Elephas maximus indicus: one gene and its partner. The protein of the gene in region 2 binds, or shares a complex with, the protein of the main gene of each other region. Links are inferred from orthologs where the notes say so. Each region holds a gene or a part of one and is shown on either strand. Other genes may lie near its edges.

Region 1 (7,606 bases), on a different chromosome or scaffold from region 2:
GCACTTAATGTTTGCACCACCCAGGGAATCCTTTAATGACTGCACTAGTAAGAAAAAAACGATATGTTTCCCAGTCTGCGATGACTGATCTGATGTCCCTTGCTAACATAGTCAGAAAAAAAAAAATCATAAATCATCTCCATTACTAAACAGTAATCCAAATGGCTCTGAGGTTTGGGTGAATGGGATTGGTCCAAAGCCTGACCTCACTTTCATTGAATTTCATGCCAGGACCAATACACACCCAGCACAGACCTTGTCTAACTAGTGAGATCCTCAGTCACAAAGACGCTGTAATTACCATCTCAAAGCCAGGCTGACAGGGATTTCAGGTGTTTTCATGTTTATGGAGATCAGAGAAATGTGTTCTGTACATCTTTTCCACTGAGCGGAAGGATAAAACCAAGCAAAAACCCAACACATTTATTCAAAACGTATTTAAGATAAAATCCTATAATGAGGATAGCCACAATTCCAGACACTCCAGTGCCAAGTGTAGATAGCCACATCCAGATGATGGACAAGCCATTGACTCCTACAAAGCTAAAGCAAGAACTAGAAGGTTTTAGCTCCCTTGGAGTGAGTGCGCAGCGTGCTCCAAGCACTTCACCACGGTTCACAAAGGCAAAGCCTGCTGCTTCTCCATTTGGAGAGTAGCATTTTCTACTCGGTTTACTTCACTTACAAAGGCGAGTGGGCATGGCTGGCGGTGGGGTAGAGGGAGGAAATCAACTCCTATCCAGGAAATTGCAGCTGTTATTGCAAAAAGCCCCGGAGAGCCCATTATAAGCTGCAGTGAGAGGCTGTCCCTGGAGTGCCTGTCACGTGGCGTCTCCCCAGCCCCCAGCCCGGGCCCCCAGGAACGCCCGCGCCACCCGCTTGAGTAGGAGAGGAGAGCCGAGGGACAGAGGTGGGATCTGGGGCCACGTCTCAGGACAGTGTCCGTGACAGCCCAGAGCGTGGCCAGGGGCGGCAGCCGTCAGTGGGAAGCACAGGCTCCGGGCACAGCCCAGCCTCTCCACACCCGCGGTGGCGGCGGCGCGCGTGTCCTCAGGAGACTCCAGCAATTGCAAAACACCGCGCACTTCTCGGAGTATAGGCAGAGCCCGGCGACTCTTCTACCCTGCTGGAGCCTGGCACCGCTATGTGCGACCAGAAAACTGACCTTGACCCGGAGGAGGGGCGGGGCGGCTGTTAAAAGCCACTTTAGAGAGGACCGACGGGTCACTCCCCGCCTCACTCTACCTTTCCACCACCCAACACCTCCTGTCCGGGTCCTACTCTCCTGTCCCCAGGCTAGGAGTACAGCCTTCCCCGACGGCTCTGAAAACAGCAGCCGGCCCCAAAGAAGGGGCAGAGAAAAAGGCTACTCCTATTCAACCCTCAAAGGTTCCTTTCATGGTACGTGCGTTTTATATTAAGAAAGAGCACTTCAAAAGACATGAGGTCCTTTTTTAAATGTAAAATTTCAGGCCTGGCAGTTTGAGGTGCTCCCTGGAATTATCAATGTCTATTTGTGTTTCCCTCCCTCAAAATGGATCAGGGACCAGCCCTGAAACGGTTGATCAAGTAACTGGGATCGCCCTCCAGCCTGAGCCCAGTGAGGCCGCTGGACTCGCGACGAGGGCGTCCGGGCCCCGGTCCTGGACAGCGTCCTTCCCGAGCTCTGCTGTCCTGAGTAGGGTGGACTGTAGTCACATGGCCACCAGGCTGTAGGGCCCTGAGAAGCTAGCTGCAAGGAACTGCACGCTGCGCCACCAGTACGTGTCTTATTAGGACTGGGGTTGCGAAATGTAATCTGCCTTGAATAGGGCCAAGACCTGTATTTCAAAGAGAGGGGCGCTTGTCCCCAGCTCCCCGCGGAAACCTTCGCGATTTTCCTATTCCTCGTCTTCATTAGCTTATATTTTCTGCTTTCAAAGGCGCGAGTTCTCCGTTAGTCTCGAGCAGGGCTGCAGTCCCGTGGGTACCCCCGACGCCTAGTCTGAGGCTGGCGCTGTGGGTACCCTGGGCTTGTTAGCTGCTGGGGACAAGAACTCTGTCTGCAGTTCTGAGCGGCGCGCTCCTCCTGGACGCGCCAGGGTCACTACAGGCTGCGCGAGAGCTGCGGGGGAGCACAGGTCCCGGGAGCCGGCGTTGGGGAAGCTTTGCATATAAATGCAGCCGTCGCGAGCGAAGCCTCCGCACTGCCTCCTTGATGAGGTTTCCCGAGAGTAGGAGCTGCTGCAGGAGACGGTGAGAGTCGTCGTCGCTGGTGCGGCCTTTGGCCCGGGGCCCGAGTCGCTGTCGTAGACGGCGGGAGGCGGCTGCACCCCGGAGCCATCCTCGCCGGCACCGCCCGGACAGCTGCCGCGAGGCGCCCGGCTTGCCGGATCCGGGAGTTCCTTCAAAGCCGGGCTGAGGGGGTAGTAGTGACAGCGCCGTGGGGCCGGCGGCAAACTCGGCCACTAAGTAGGGCGCAGCCCAGTCCCGCACGCTGCCGCAGTCCCCGAAGGTGCTATACAGGGCTCCTAGGTTCGTGGCCTCGACCGATGAGGGCGGCAGATGCAGCGGCAGCGCCGGGGGCCGGGCCCTGTACGCCGGCACCTCAGCCAGGGGCAGCGGTGGCTGCAGCGGCTGCCACGGCGGTGCGCACAAGGAGGCCGGGCTGTCCTGCGCCGGGTCCAGCTGCAGCGCCTCGCCTATCTGGGCCACTAGCCGGTCCACCTCGGCCGATCCGCCCAGCCTCGCTGGCTGCTCCAGCAGGAGAAAGCTATCCTCCTGCTCTTTTTCCTCCCCCTCCGCTTCCTCGCCGGCTTTCTCTTCTTCCTCCCTGCGGCACGGCATGGCCCCCGGCCCGGGCACCCGGAGCTCTGCAGGCGTCGTCGGCGGCCCGGCTCCCGTTAGGGTTCGGTGGGCCGCAGCAGAGCCGGGAGTGATCCTGACGCCAAAGCCAGGGCCGGGGATGCGGAGGACTAGGAAGCCGGAGCCCGCCAGGCGCTCGCTGCGCGCCTGCAGTCGCGGGAGCCAGAATTCTACCCGCTGTTAGATTTGTAAACAATGGGTGACGTAGCGCCCGGCCCTACCACAGCGCGGGGACTGGGGGTGGTGTGTCATTCGAGGGCAGGGGTCCTGCAGGTCTGGGGTTCAGGTTGAAGCCCTGCTGCCTCTGAGCTCAGGATGGCCGAGTGCGGTGTGCGGGAGTGCACTGGGGAGCTGATCCTGGCTTTCTTAGCCAGCAGTGATAGGCATTTCCAGAAGTTGGACACCGACGCGGACACCATTGGTTTCTTCCACACACAAGCACATACACTTAGACACACACCAACACACACCCCTTCTCTCGGCGCGACAAATATTGTTTTAACCTTCGCGCTTTCGTGATCCTGGGTGCTGGTGCTTGGAGAGTGATGACGAGAAGTGCTGGAGAGGCAAAGATGGAGAGGTGGGGGAGCCAGGCAGAGGGCCTGGCTAGAGGTTAGGAAAACAAGGCTGACTGGGATGGAAGGTAGGAAGGGACACTTCGGTGCAAGTGGTAATGGCGGAGTTGGAATTGGCAAAGACAGGCCACACATTAAGGTGATTAGTGTTTCTTGATCAGGCGGATGGGCGTGGGGGGCCTGGACTAGGGCTGGAGTTGCTGAAGACAGAGGAGAAGGTTGACGGGCTTGGGGGGGGCCGTGAGCTAGAAAGGCTTCTTTTAAGAAAAATTCCGCAGCCCAGTAGGGAGGATCCCTGCTGAGGTGCTAGCAGGAGGGGAAAATGGAAAGCTGTTTGGTTAAAAATGGAGATGTGGGTTAGCTTAACCTTTGTAGATATTATGGTTGGCTTAGTGGTAAACCAAGACTTCATTTTTAACCAAAGGAGCAGAAAATGATCCTTTAGTGTCATGTTGCTTGGGGATTTTGGACTGTTATTCAAAATTCCAAGCCCTCCAGGCCTAACTTTCAGACACTGCATTTATAGGTAAGCTTTTGGTGGACCTGCCTTTAAAAGCCAACCAGGCCATCACCAACTGAATTATGGTGATGGCTGCACCACTAAGTAAATTCACTAAAAATAATTGAAAGTTCTCTTCAGATGACTGAATTTTACTGCATATAAATTACATTTTGGAAAAGTTGTTTAGGAAGCCTGCTTGGCTGCTAAGCAAAAGGTTGGAGGTTTGAGTCCACCCAGAGGCATCTCATAAGAAAGGACTGGAGATCTATTTCCAAAAAATCAGCCACTGAAAATCCTACGGAACACAGTTCTGTCTGATACACGTGGGGTCGGTGTGAATTGGAATCTACTCAACAGCAACTGGTTTTAAAGTTGTTTTAAAAATTAGCCACAAAGCACACACCCACAAACACACAGAATCCAACAAGGAGAGTTCGGACTCTGTGCAAAGCAACAGGGTGCTTGTTACTTTATCGATAACAGAGGGGGATGCTTTAGAAAGGGGATGCAAGAGGGAAAGATTGGGGGCCAGGGATCCAGATAACAAGTAGAAATCGAGGGTATTGGTGAGTGGTGCTGAGGATGACACTTAGAGTAATAATCCTTTAGGAAGTGGTGGAATGGAATGAAATCCTGGACAACTTCAGTATTTTCTCCATTTATCATGATGTTGCTCATTGGTCCAGTTGTGAGGATTTTTGTTTTCTTTATGTTGAGGCGGAATCCATGCTGAAGGCTGTGGTCTTTGATCTTCATCAGTAAGTGCTTCATGTCCTCTTCACTTTCAGTAAACAAGGTTGTGTCATTTGCGTATTTCAGTTTGTTAATGAGTCTTTCTCCAAACGGGATGCCCTGTTCTTTTTCACATAGTCTAGCTTCTCAGATTATCTGCTCAACATACAGATTGAATAAGTGCGGTGAAAGGATACAACACTTTCATACTGTTCCTGGTTTTAAACCAGGCAGTATTCAGCTTGTTCTGTTTGAAAGACTGCCTCTTGGTCTATGCACAGGTTCCACATGAGCACAATTAAGCGTTCTGGAATTCCCATTCTTCACAGTGTTGCCCATAATTTGCTATGATCCACACAGTCATATGTCTTTGCATAGTCAATAAAACACAGGTAAACATCTTTCTGGTATTCTCTGCTTTCGGCCAGTATTCATCTGACATCAGCAATGATATCCCTTGTTCCATGTACTCTTGTGAATCCTGGCAAATTTCTGGCAGTTCCCTGTTTATATAGTGCTGCAGCCCTTTTTGAACGATCTTCAGCAAAATTTTACTTGTGCATGATATTGCTTGATAATTTCTGCGTTCTGTTGAATCGTGTTTCTTTGGAATGGGTGACCTTTATTAGGTTGTAAATGTTTCCTTCCATTCCTGATTTTTCGAGTGTTTTTATCGTGAAAAGACCAACAACTTATTTTAAATTGTTCATTTGAGAATGTGGTCAAAGCAGCCATTTATTAGCTATACTATTCTGAACCTGATTCTTTAAAATTTTAAGATGAAAATAAATAGGAGCAGTTTCTAATCTCTGTTTTTATTCTTTGGTTCAGGATTTATAAGCTTCAAGCGTTTTTCTGGGGTTGAAAATGGTATGACTGCTGCCTTAGTCATCTAGCGCTGCCATAACAGAAATACCACAAGTGGATGGCTTTAACAAAAAGAAATTCATTTTCTCACAGCCTAGTAGGTTACAAGTCCAAATTCAGGGCGTCAGCTCCAGGGGAAGGCTTTCTTAGTGGTATGAGGTCCTCAACTCTGGTTGCTTCTCTTTCGTTTAATCTCCAAAATGTGGTGCAGGCCACATCCCAGGGAAACTCCCTTTACATTGGATCAGAGAGGTGACCTGAATAAGAGTGGTGTTACAATCCTACCCTGATCCTCTCAACATAAAATTAGAATCACAAAATGGAGGACAACCACACAATACTGGGAATCATGGCCTAACCAAGTTGATACTCACATTTTTGGGGGGACATAATTCAACCCATTACCCAAAAAACCCAGTGCCGTGGTGTTGATTCCAACTCACTGCGACTCTATAGGACAGAGTAGAACTGCCCCATAGAGTTTCCAAGGAGCGCCTGGAGGATTCGAACTGGCGACCGTTTGGTTAGCAGCTGTAGTACTTGACCACTATGCCACCAGGGTTTCCTAATCCATGACAGCTTATAAAATAAACAGTATCACCTGTGAGTACTGTGCTCCTTTGAAAAATCATCTGTGTGAGACCAAACTTGTCAACATATACTCTAAAGAAAGATGAGAAGGTAAGGAGAGGGGGGCAGGGAAATTTGATTAATGGAAACAGAATAACCAGAATGGAAATAATGATAATTTCGATACACTATGAAAAATGGGAAACCCTGGTGGCCTAGTGGTTAAGTGCTACAGCTGCTAACCAAAGGGTCGGCAGTTCGAATCTGCCAGGCTTTTCTTGGAAACCCTATGGGGCAGTTCTACTCTGTCCTATAGGGTTGCTATGAGTCGGAATCAACTTGACAGCACTGGGTTTGGTTTGGTTGGTTTTGTGAAAAATGTAACCAATGTCACTGAGCAATTTATATAGAAATTGTTAAGTGGGAACCTAATTTGCTGTGTAAACATTCACCAAAAACACAATAAAATATTATATAAAGAAAATCATCACATGAATCAATCTGAATCTTTTACTTTTGACAAACTTCTTTTTGGAATTTCATTCTGGGTAGAGCATTGTTTTACAGATTGTGGGGTCCCGAAAGCTACCGTTTCCCAACAAAGGTGATCCAGCCGAATGTGGAAATTATAGAACAATATCATTAATATCACACGCAAGCAAAATTTTGCTGAAGAGCATTCAAAAACGGCTGCAGCAGTATATCGACAGGGAACTGCCAGAAATTCAGGCCGGTTTCAGAGGAGGACGTGGAACCAGGGATATCATTGCTGATGTCAGATGGATCCTGGCTGAAAGCAGAGAATATGAGAAGGATGTTTACCTGTGTTTTATTGACTATGCAAAGACATTCGACTGTGTGGATCATAACAAATTATGGATAAATTGTGAAGAATGGGAATTCCAGAACACTTAATTGTGCTCATGAAGAACCTTTACATAGATCCAGAGGCAGTTCAAACGGAACAAGGGGATACTGATGGGTTTAAAGTCAGGAAAGGTGTGTGTCAGGGTTGTATTCTTTCACCATACCTACTCGATCTGTAGGCTGAGCAAATAATCTGAGAAGATGGACTATATGAAGAAGAATGGCGCATCAGGATTGGAGGAAGACTTATTAACAACCTGCGTTACGCAGATGACACAACCTTGCTGGCTGAAAGTGAAGAGGACTTGAAGCAATTACTAATGAAGATCAAAGACCACAGCCTTCAGTATGGATTGCACCTCAACATAAAGAAAACAAAAATCCTCACAACTGGACCAATGAGCAACATCATGATAAACGGAGAAAAGATTGAAGTTGTCAAGGATTTCATTTTACTTGGATCCACAATCAACGGCCATGGAAGCAGCAGTCAAGAAATCAAAAGATGCGTTGCATTGGGTAAATCTGCTACAAAGGACCTCTTTAAAGTGTCGAAGAGCAAAGATGCCACCTTGAAGACTAAGGTGCGCCTGACCCAAGCCGTGGTATTTTCAATCACATCATATACGTGTGAAAGCGGGACAGTGAA
Region 2 (6,902 bases):
CACCAGCTAGCCTTCCTATATTTCTCAACTTCCAGCGCTTCCTATTTTCTTACTTAAAAAAACATACTTAGTCCTCTTTAATTCAGATTTGCCAACTTCCTTGCTGTCTCCCATACAAAAATCACCGCCTGAGCCTCGGTCCATTCCTTCCACCTAGAATCCCTCAGGCTTCGCTATCAATTCAAGTTACTGCCTCCTTTAACACCAGTCTTCAAAAGCACCTTCCACAGGATGTCTTCCCTCTCCAACCCATCAGCCTCACCCCTCAACTCTTTGTCCCTCAGAACAAAGGATGGGACTTATCTTTTATCATCTTGCAGTCATCACGCTATTGTTTTCATCTTCTTTCTCAGAAGCTCTTGAGTCTAAGGACCACAATGTCTTACGTATCTCTCTTTTGAACAGAAGTTCCTTAGAACGCTAGCACTCAGAAAATGCTTAACTCCTCTTTCTTCTAAAATGTCCTTAGAGTCAAAGTTATCAAAAACACATAATTAGCATTAAACTCCTAATTTTTAAATGTTTAGTTGACCTATACAATAACAGAAAATCACACACTTTACATACTTTATAAAAGCTACTCCATCCTCAGTCAACATCACAATACCAAGAATTAGGAAAGCAAAGAAAATCCTGGAAACGAAACGAAAAGCCCAAAAGCTTAGCATTATAGGATATTTTATTTTGCTCTCTGAAATAAATCTAATGAGTTAATTACCTAAAATTGATCTCAAGTGGTTTTTAAACTATGTTACCAAGATGTAAAACGTACAAACACTCCAGTACCACAAGAGGCTCTTAGGCAGCTATTATAAGATTTGCTTCATCATAGCTGAAAATTACGCCAGAATTTTTAAATATTCCTTTCAAATGACCCCATGAAATGCCTAGAAAGCTTGACCCTTCCCTGAAAGATGCATCAGCTTCCCTCTTCTCTACTAGTCACTGCATTCTCTATTAGCTAGTCACTAGGGGGGAAAAAAATTAACTTTCAAAAAAAATCTCCCATTCAGCTATTACCTTGGCCTACCCTGTTTCAGGCAAGTTCCAAAAGCCAACATGATTTGAAATTTTGAATTCAATTAAAAGCGATCATTTTATGTTGCTTAAGGATATAGTCAATTTCACAAGCCAGCATGTACTTTTAATATCTCACTTCTTCAGTTCTCTCAGTTCCTCTAAGCAACAAGATGGTTTGCCTTTGCCCTCAGCGTATCCCTTTTGTTCAGGAATAAAGAAAACCACCTACACATGCTTATCAAATTCTGTAAGTGTATTTAAATAAGTTGTCATTAGACACCATTATCAAAGATACAATAAACATCTCCACAAACTCTGATACATTGGAACAATGTTATATTCCTTAAAGCAACGACTTCAAGAACCTCAACTTTTCTGCACAAACCAGGCACGAGAGTACATACAGCCTGGCGACAACTCTGAACACAGCCCAAATAGTCCTCTTACATCCAGGACCACAGCATTCTGCAAAAGTTATGACGGAAGGGCTAAATCGATAGTCTTATAACTAAGTCCGTATTATCTAAATGTGAGGAAACCACTGAAAGAGTATCTTAAATAGCCCTAAAAAGGGACCCCCTGGAACAAGTAACAAATGCAATTCAATTTTGGGAACGCGAACTTAGATAGCAATGCGTCAGTGACAGTTATTTGGCAATTCGGTTTACTACAAACCTCAGTCGAAACTGGGACCTACTTCCAAGTTGCCTTCTGATGAAACATAAATTATACAGTGGCGAACTGCGAATGTGTCAAAACGGAAAAATTAACGATAGCACATTCAACCACTTAAACAACTGAAGACAATGCGAGCAGGGGTGCTCCCATCTGTGGGCTCCCCGGGCCCCTTCCAGAGGAGGAACCAAGGCTGCCTCCAAACGTGACCGCTGGTCACTGAGTAAGTTCAGCCCGCAGGGCGGAGAACAAATACTCTGTATAGTCGCACAGGCAAGAAAAAAAAGGTTAGGAGATTGGGACTTTTAGTGTCTCCATTAAGTATGCAAAACTATGATGACCCCTGAGAGCTGCGCTAACTAAAATGCGCCAAAAGACATCCACTCTGCAAATGTGCATAATGGTTTACGAATCAAGTCCTGTCCTTCTCTTTATTCAAAAGGATGAACAAGTAAACACTTTCCATCACTGTTTTAACGAGCAAACACTCAAGCACTTGGTGAAGCGGACTAACAACAGCCAAGAAAAGTATAAGCAGTGTTTCAAATCGAATGATCCAAGTAAAAAATCCCATTCTGTCATTCAAGGTTAATAAGACCGGGGGAGGGGTTTGGGAGGAGAAAAGAGGGAGCTGCCTCATCCTAGACTGAAGACAGGTTCTATCCTTTTCCATTACCAGGTTGCCTCTTACCAAGTCTAGTCCCTTAAAATCCTATTTCAAGGTTTCTTATTTTAAGGGCGACGTGGAGAAAGGGTTGTAAATTAAAATCAATACTCACTGCTAACTTTCATGCTGCCAAAAGCCGAAGGCTGCTGCACTGGCTTGCAGCTCTCCGCAAAGGAGGTGGTTCTGGGCCGCCCTGACATGATCACTCTCTTCCCGAATCACCTTTTCCTTCCTTCCTCTTGTCTTCCTATTGTTTTATGTTGGGGTGTTAGGTTAATGATAAATGCAGCATTAAGTTCTCCCCGGGAAAAAGAAAAAGACTTCGTCCTCTTGGCTTTGCACTCCTTTTATATTATCAAAAAAAAAAAAAAGATGGATTTCTCCTTCAAGACAGATCGGTATAGATATTTAACATATAGATGATTTGGGTGAAAAAAATACAATTCTTCTCCCTCCCTTTCAGGGAGGAGGCGGGGAGGAAAAAAGAAAGCTCCTAAAAAATACCTATCACGTGCAGCAGGGCAAATACTTGATTGAAAATAAGTCCTGTGAAGATTGTCTTTTCCTCGGGGATTTTTTTTCCGAGTCAATGAAGAAGGGAAGCGGCGGAAGGATCACGAGTCTCCCGCCGGCCGCGGGGGGAGGGGAGCAGGGGGAGGGGGTGGCTCGGCGAGGCCACGGGAAGCGCTGCGGCCCCGGCGGCCTGGAGACGGGCCCGGCGGCGGCGGCGGCGGCGGCGGCGGCGGCCGAGGGCGAGGTGCTCAGACGCGGGCGGCGGCGGCGGCGCTGGCGGCTCCCCTCCTCATTGCGCCAGGAGCAGCTGCAGGCGGCGGCTGGATCCAGCGGCCATGGCGGCGGCGGCGGCGGAGGCAGCTCCCTTCAGACCCCAGGCAGCGGCTCCTCGGCTGCTCCCCATACGCGGGGGACATGGGAACGCGGCCGCCGCTTCCGTCCCTCGGGGCCCCCTCCCCGTCCGCGGCCCCAGCGCGGCCGCCCTCCCGGCCCTCGCCTCGGCTCGGCGTCCGCTCAGGAAGCGTCCGCGCTGCGGCCCCAGCCCGGAGCACTGTCAGCGGCTGCGGGCCGGCTCCTCCTCGCTTCCTTCCTTCCTTCCTTCCTTTGTCACTCGGCCCGGGCTGCGGCGGCGGCACAAGCCCGCATTCGCCCGGCTCGGGGGCTGCTCTGTGTGAGGCGAGCCGTCTGCGCAGTCGCCTAGCTCCTCGCCGCACCCCCTCCCCCCTGCTGCTCGTCCTCCGCCTCCTTCCTCCCCCACCCAGCCTTACACCGCCCAGCGCCCCGCCGCCCGCGTAACAGGCGTCTGGGAATCGCCGGCCGAGCCCCGCGCCCGCCCCCTTCGGCTGGGGAGCCGAAGCCCGAGCGGGGCCAATCACGGGCGTCGTTTGTTTGCGGCTCCTCCCGGAAAAAGCCGATCGACCTGAAGAGCCAATTGGAGAGTGCCGCCGGAAATCCACGCCCGAGGAGCGGAAAATGCCGAGGATAACCGAACGGGAGCAAGGGGGATTCGCCTTGTTTTGTGGCTGGCTGAAGGAGAAATTCGACGGCGGCAACAGTAGCCAATCAGAGCCGCCGTCTCTCTGGAAAAAGCATGAAGAGTTAAGGTCGGTGAAACCCAGAGTTCCAGGTGAAACTGTACTGCTGAGAGCCGCGGCCGCTTTGTAATTGGCTGAAAAACTCTGCTGGGCGTGTCCCTCACTCGGTGATTGGAGGAGGAAAGGGGGCATCCGAGGAGAGTCTAACCAATCAGAACTGCTCTTCCCTAGCCGAGGGGGGGAGAAGAAGAAAGCTAAGGGAGGACGTTTATAAAGCGCCTTCTTATTGGCTTGAAGCTTTAGAGCGGAGGGAATGGGAGGGAGGCCGAAACTCGTTGCGATAGCCAATCGGCACTGACGGCTCTCCTATCGCAAGACCTAGCTGCAGTGTGATTGGCCTACAACCTACGGCGGCGGCCCCAGGCGCTAGGAGCTCGTCTGGGGTCGTGGCGGGCGGTGTCGCCTACTCGCTGGCGGCTGCTCCCAACCCGTAGGAAAGCCGCAGACAGGGAGCGCGGGCTTTCCGCGCACCCGCTTCGCGCAGCCTGTCCCAAACCCGTGGTCGGCGGAGCTGGGCTCTGCTAGTGCTTAAGCCAGCGAAGGGTCGGGGGCTCTCCGCACTCCCTGGAGGCTCTCGGCGGGGTGCGGCTAAGTCTCTGCGCCCGAGCCATCCTTCAGCCTGAGATCGCGCGTCCCGAGGACCTGCGTCTTCCCCAGGAGGCCCCAAGGGACCCCTCCGGCCGGCTGCGATTTCTCAGACACGAAAGTGGGGACAAAGCTTCCAGAAAAGCAGCGCCCCCGGGCAGCCGCGCCCCGCCCGGCCGCGGGGACCATTGACAGCGCGAGGCTGACTACGCCTCATGCGCACGGCCCAGCTGGGCCTTCTGGAAACGCCCCTAAGAAATGAGCTCATTCTGGATGCGCGCACTCCTTGGGCGCCACTGCCCGGTGCAGAAGGGGCCAAAAGCAGGTGAGGGGAGATGCCGTCAGGCCGGATATCCTGAGATCTCTAAGGAAGCGGAGTCAGCATAGCCCTGAGTGCCTTTGGGTCCTCCGGAACCAGGGTCGTCTATAAAAGCACTATTTGAGTAGATTTCACACATTGTCCAGCCTTCATTGCTCTACTGGAGAGCCAGGTTTTTTTTTTGTTTTTTTTGTTTTTGTCAGAGGACAGTGAGGTGTGGCTACATCAGGATAGCAGGGAAAGTAGAGTAGACAGTTGCCATGCTGATTATGATTCCCTGGGACCTGTAATTTCCACCTACAGGCTCACTACTTTCAAGATGCTGTCTCCAGAAAGCACATGTAAAAGTACTCATTTGATCAGACTGCCTAGCAGTTGGCTTGGAAAGTCTGATGAAGGACTTGGGATAGAACAAAGTAAGCTTTGATGGGAGACAGGAAAAGTCTAGACAAGTAAAGCAAATGAGTGAAACTGGCCTGGTGTAAGACAATGGCGAATGATAGAGAATATGGCAACTTGGAGTATCCCTGCCGGAACTAAAATGAGCAGCTGCTCCTCAGCCCTAGCAGATTGTTGCCCTCAGGAATGTGGGTTCAGTGCAGGGCTTCCAACCAGTTAGTTCAGGTTCGAACCCCTGCTGAGAATTTGCATTTCTATCCCAGATAAACTGAATTAGAATCTACATTTTAATAAAACCCCCTGGTGATTCTTAATGTATAATAAATTTTAAGAACCACTGCTCTGCTAAGTGGTTCTCAGAATTGGTCCCTAACCAGCAGCATCAGCATCGCCTGGGAACTTGTTAGAAATGCAAATTATCAGCAGAGGTTTCAACCAGAAAAGGTTCAAAGACCTGGTTCAGTGTTTTTGAGATAGTCAGTGTTGTTTTTGTTTTCCCAAGATTAAACTAAGAGCTGGATTTTTGTGTAAAACCTCTGGATTTTTAAATGTTGACAACCAATACTTAAAACATTGCAGGGCAAACTAAAAACATCCTGGGGTAGACGTGGCAAACAGGCAATCAATTTGCAGTATTTAACCAGAGCATAGATTTTGTAGCCCCAGAGCAGTAGAGGCCCTAGTTCTTTGCAATTAAGAGAGAACATGAGATCAGTGGATGTCATGGGGGAGGGTAAAGAACATTAAAAGCCAACTCAGTGCATGGCAAGCTTGTCAGCTGATTGGTGGCTCTCCATGCTATTAGGAAAAGCCTTTGTCACTGCTCCTGAAAATGCTGTGAGGCAACACTTTAAATCCTGCCTTCCTCTTATACCAGCAAGAAAGTGAATAGGAAATGTTTAGGTTACACAAATTGGAAACACGGGTATTATTTTGTAATACAAAAATGACCTAACTTGAGGTTATATTTAGCTTTACTGTTGCTGCCTTCAAATATTTTGAACTGATGCTGTTAAAACAAAAATCTGAACGAGAGGGAAATTTTATAGGAAAAAAAGTATGTATGTCAGTCTAAGAATTAGAGCTGGAGAGAGAAGTTTATGAGGAAATACAGAACTACGCAAACATTTAGTGATTGCTTCCCTGAACTGTTCAAATCCAATGTTACCTTCCCACCTACTGTCAACTACTAACCAGTTTATAATAGTAATAGTAAACAGTTAATATTTATTGAGCGTTTACAACGTGCTAGGCATTGTTCTTAAGTGCTTCACACATACTGTCTCATTTAAACTTCATAACAATCCTACCCTGCTTTTCAGAAAGCTTTACTAACTTGCTTCAGGTCCACAAAGCTGAAGTAGCAGAGCTAGGATTCATATCCCCTGTTCTTAGGCCCTGCTCCGTACTTTTCTCTCTCACAGAGTCCCCACATTCCTCCATATGTCTTGCTTTATCACCTTATGCCTTCTTACTGTGGCATCTGATGTGAACACAGCCCTCAGTATAGTGTCAGTTTGGTTTGCTCCTGGGCTCATGAGATGGTCTCACGTAGAGATCAGTAAGTAATTCTAAGCCGAATTCTGTGTGGTTACTGAGAGTGTCCACAAAATGATATTTATAAGTTAAA

The links. Proteins that work in one complex are often made in the same cells at the same time.
Region 1: the proteins of GSK3B (region 2) and FRAT1 are in contact, whole or in part, in a crystal structure (PDB 5OY4), measured with the Homo sapiens proteins. The link is inferred for Elephas maximus indicus from reciprocal best matches to the Homo sapiens genes GSK3B and FRAT1. Residues at the interface, in NP_001139628.1 of Homo sapiens: Tyr216, Ile228, Phe229, Ser261, Gly262, Val263, Asp264, Leu266, Val267, Ile270, Lys271, Thr275, Pro276, Ile281, Tyr288, Thr289, Glu290, Phe291, Lys292, Phe293, Pro294, Ile296; in NP_005470.2 of Homo sapiens: His200, Leu202, Leu203, Leu206, Val207, Ser209, Gly210, Asn211, Leu212, Ile213, Lys214, Glu215, Ala216, Val217, Arg219, Leu220, His221.

Annotation. Positions count from the first base shown.
Region 1 is NC_064834.1:49,097,311-49,104,916, reverse strand, and holds FRAT1 (proto-oncogene FRAT1), read right to left. Parts: upstream 3,017-7,606; 5' UTR 2,827-3,016; coding exon 2,017-2,826; 3' UTR 501-2,016; downstream 1-500. UniProt on the Homo sapiens protein: Positively regulates the Wnt signaling pathway by stabilizing beta-catenin through the association with GSK-3. May play a role in tumor progression and collaborate with PIM1 and MYC in lymphomagenesis.
Region 2 is NC_064819.1:10,595,767-10,602,668, forward strand, and holds the start of GSK3B (glycogen synthase kinase-3 beta), read right to left. Parts: upstream 3,019-6,902; 5' UTR 2,563-3,018; coding exon 2,475-2,562; intron 1-2,474. UniProt on the Homo sapiens protein: Constitutively active protein kinase that acts as a negative regulator in the hormonal control of glucose homeostasis, Wnt signaling and regulation of transcription factors and microtubules, by phosphorylating and inactivating glycogen synthase (GYS1 or GYS2), EIF2B, CTNNB1/beta-catenin, APC, AXIN1, DPYSL2/CRMP2, JUN, NFATC1/NFATC, MAPT/TAU and MACF1.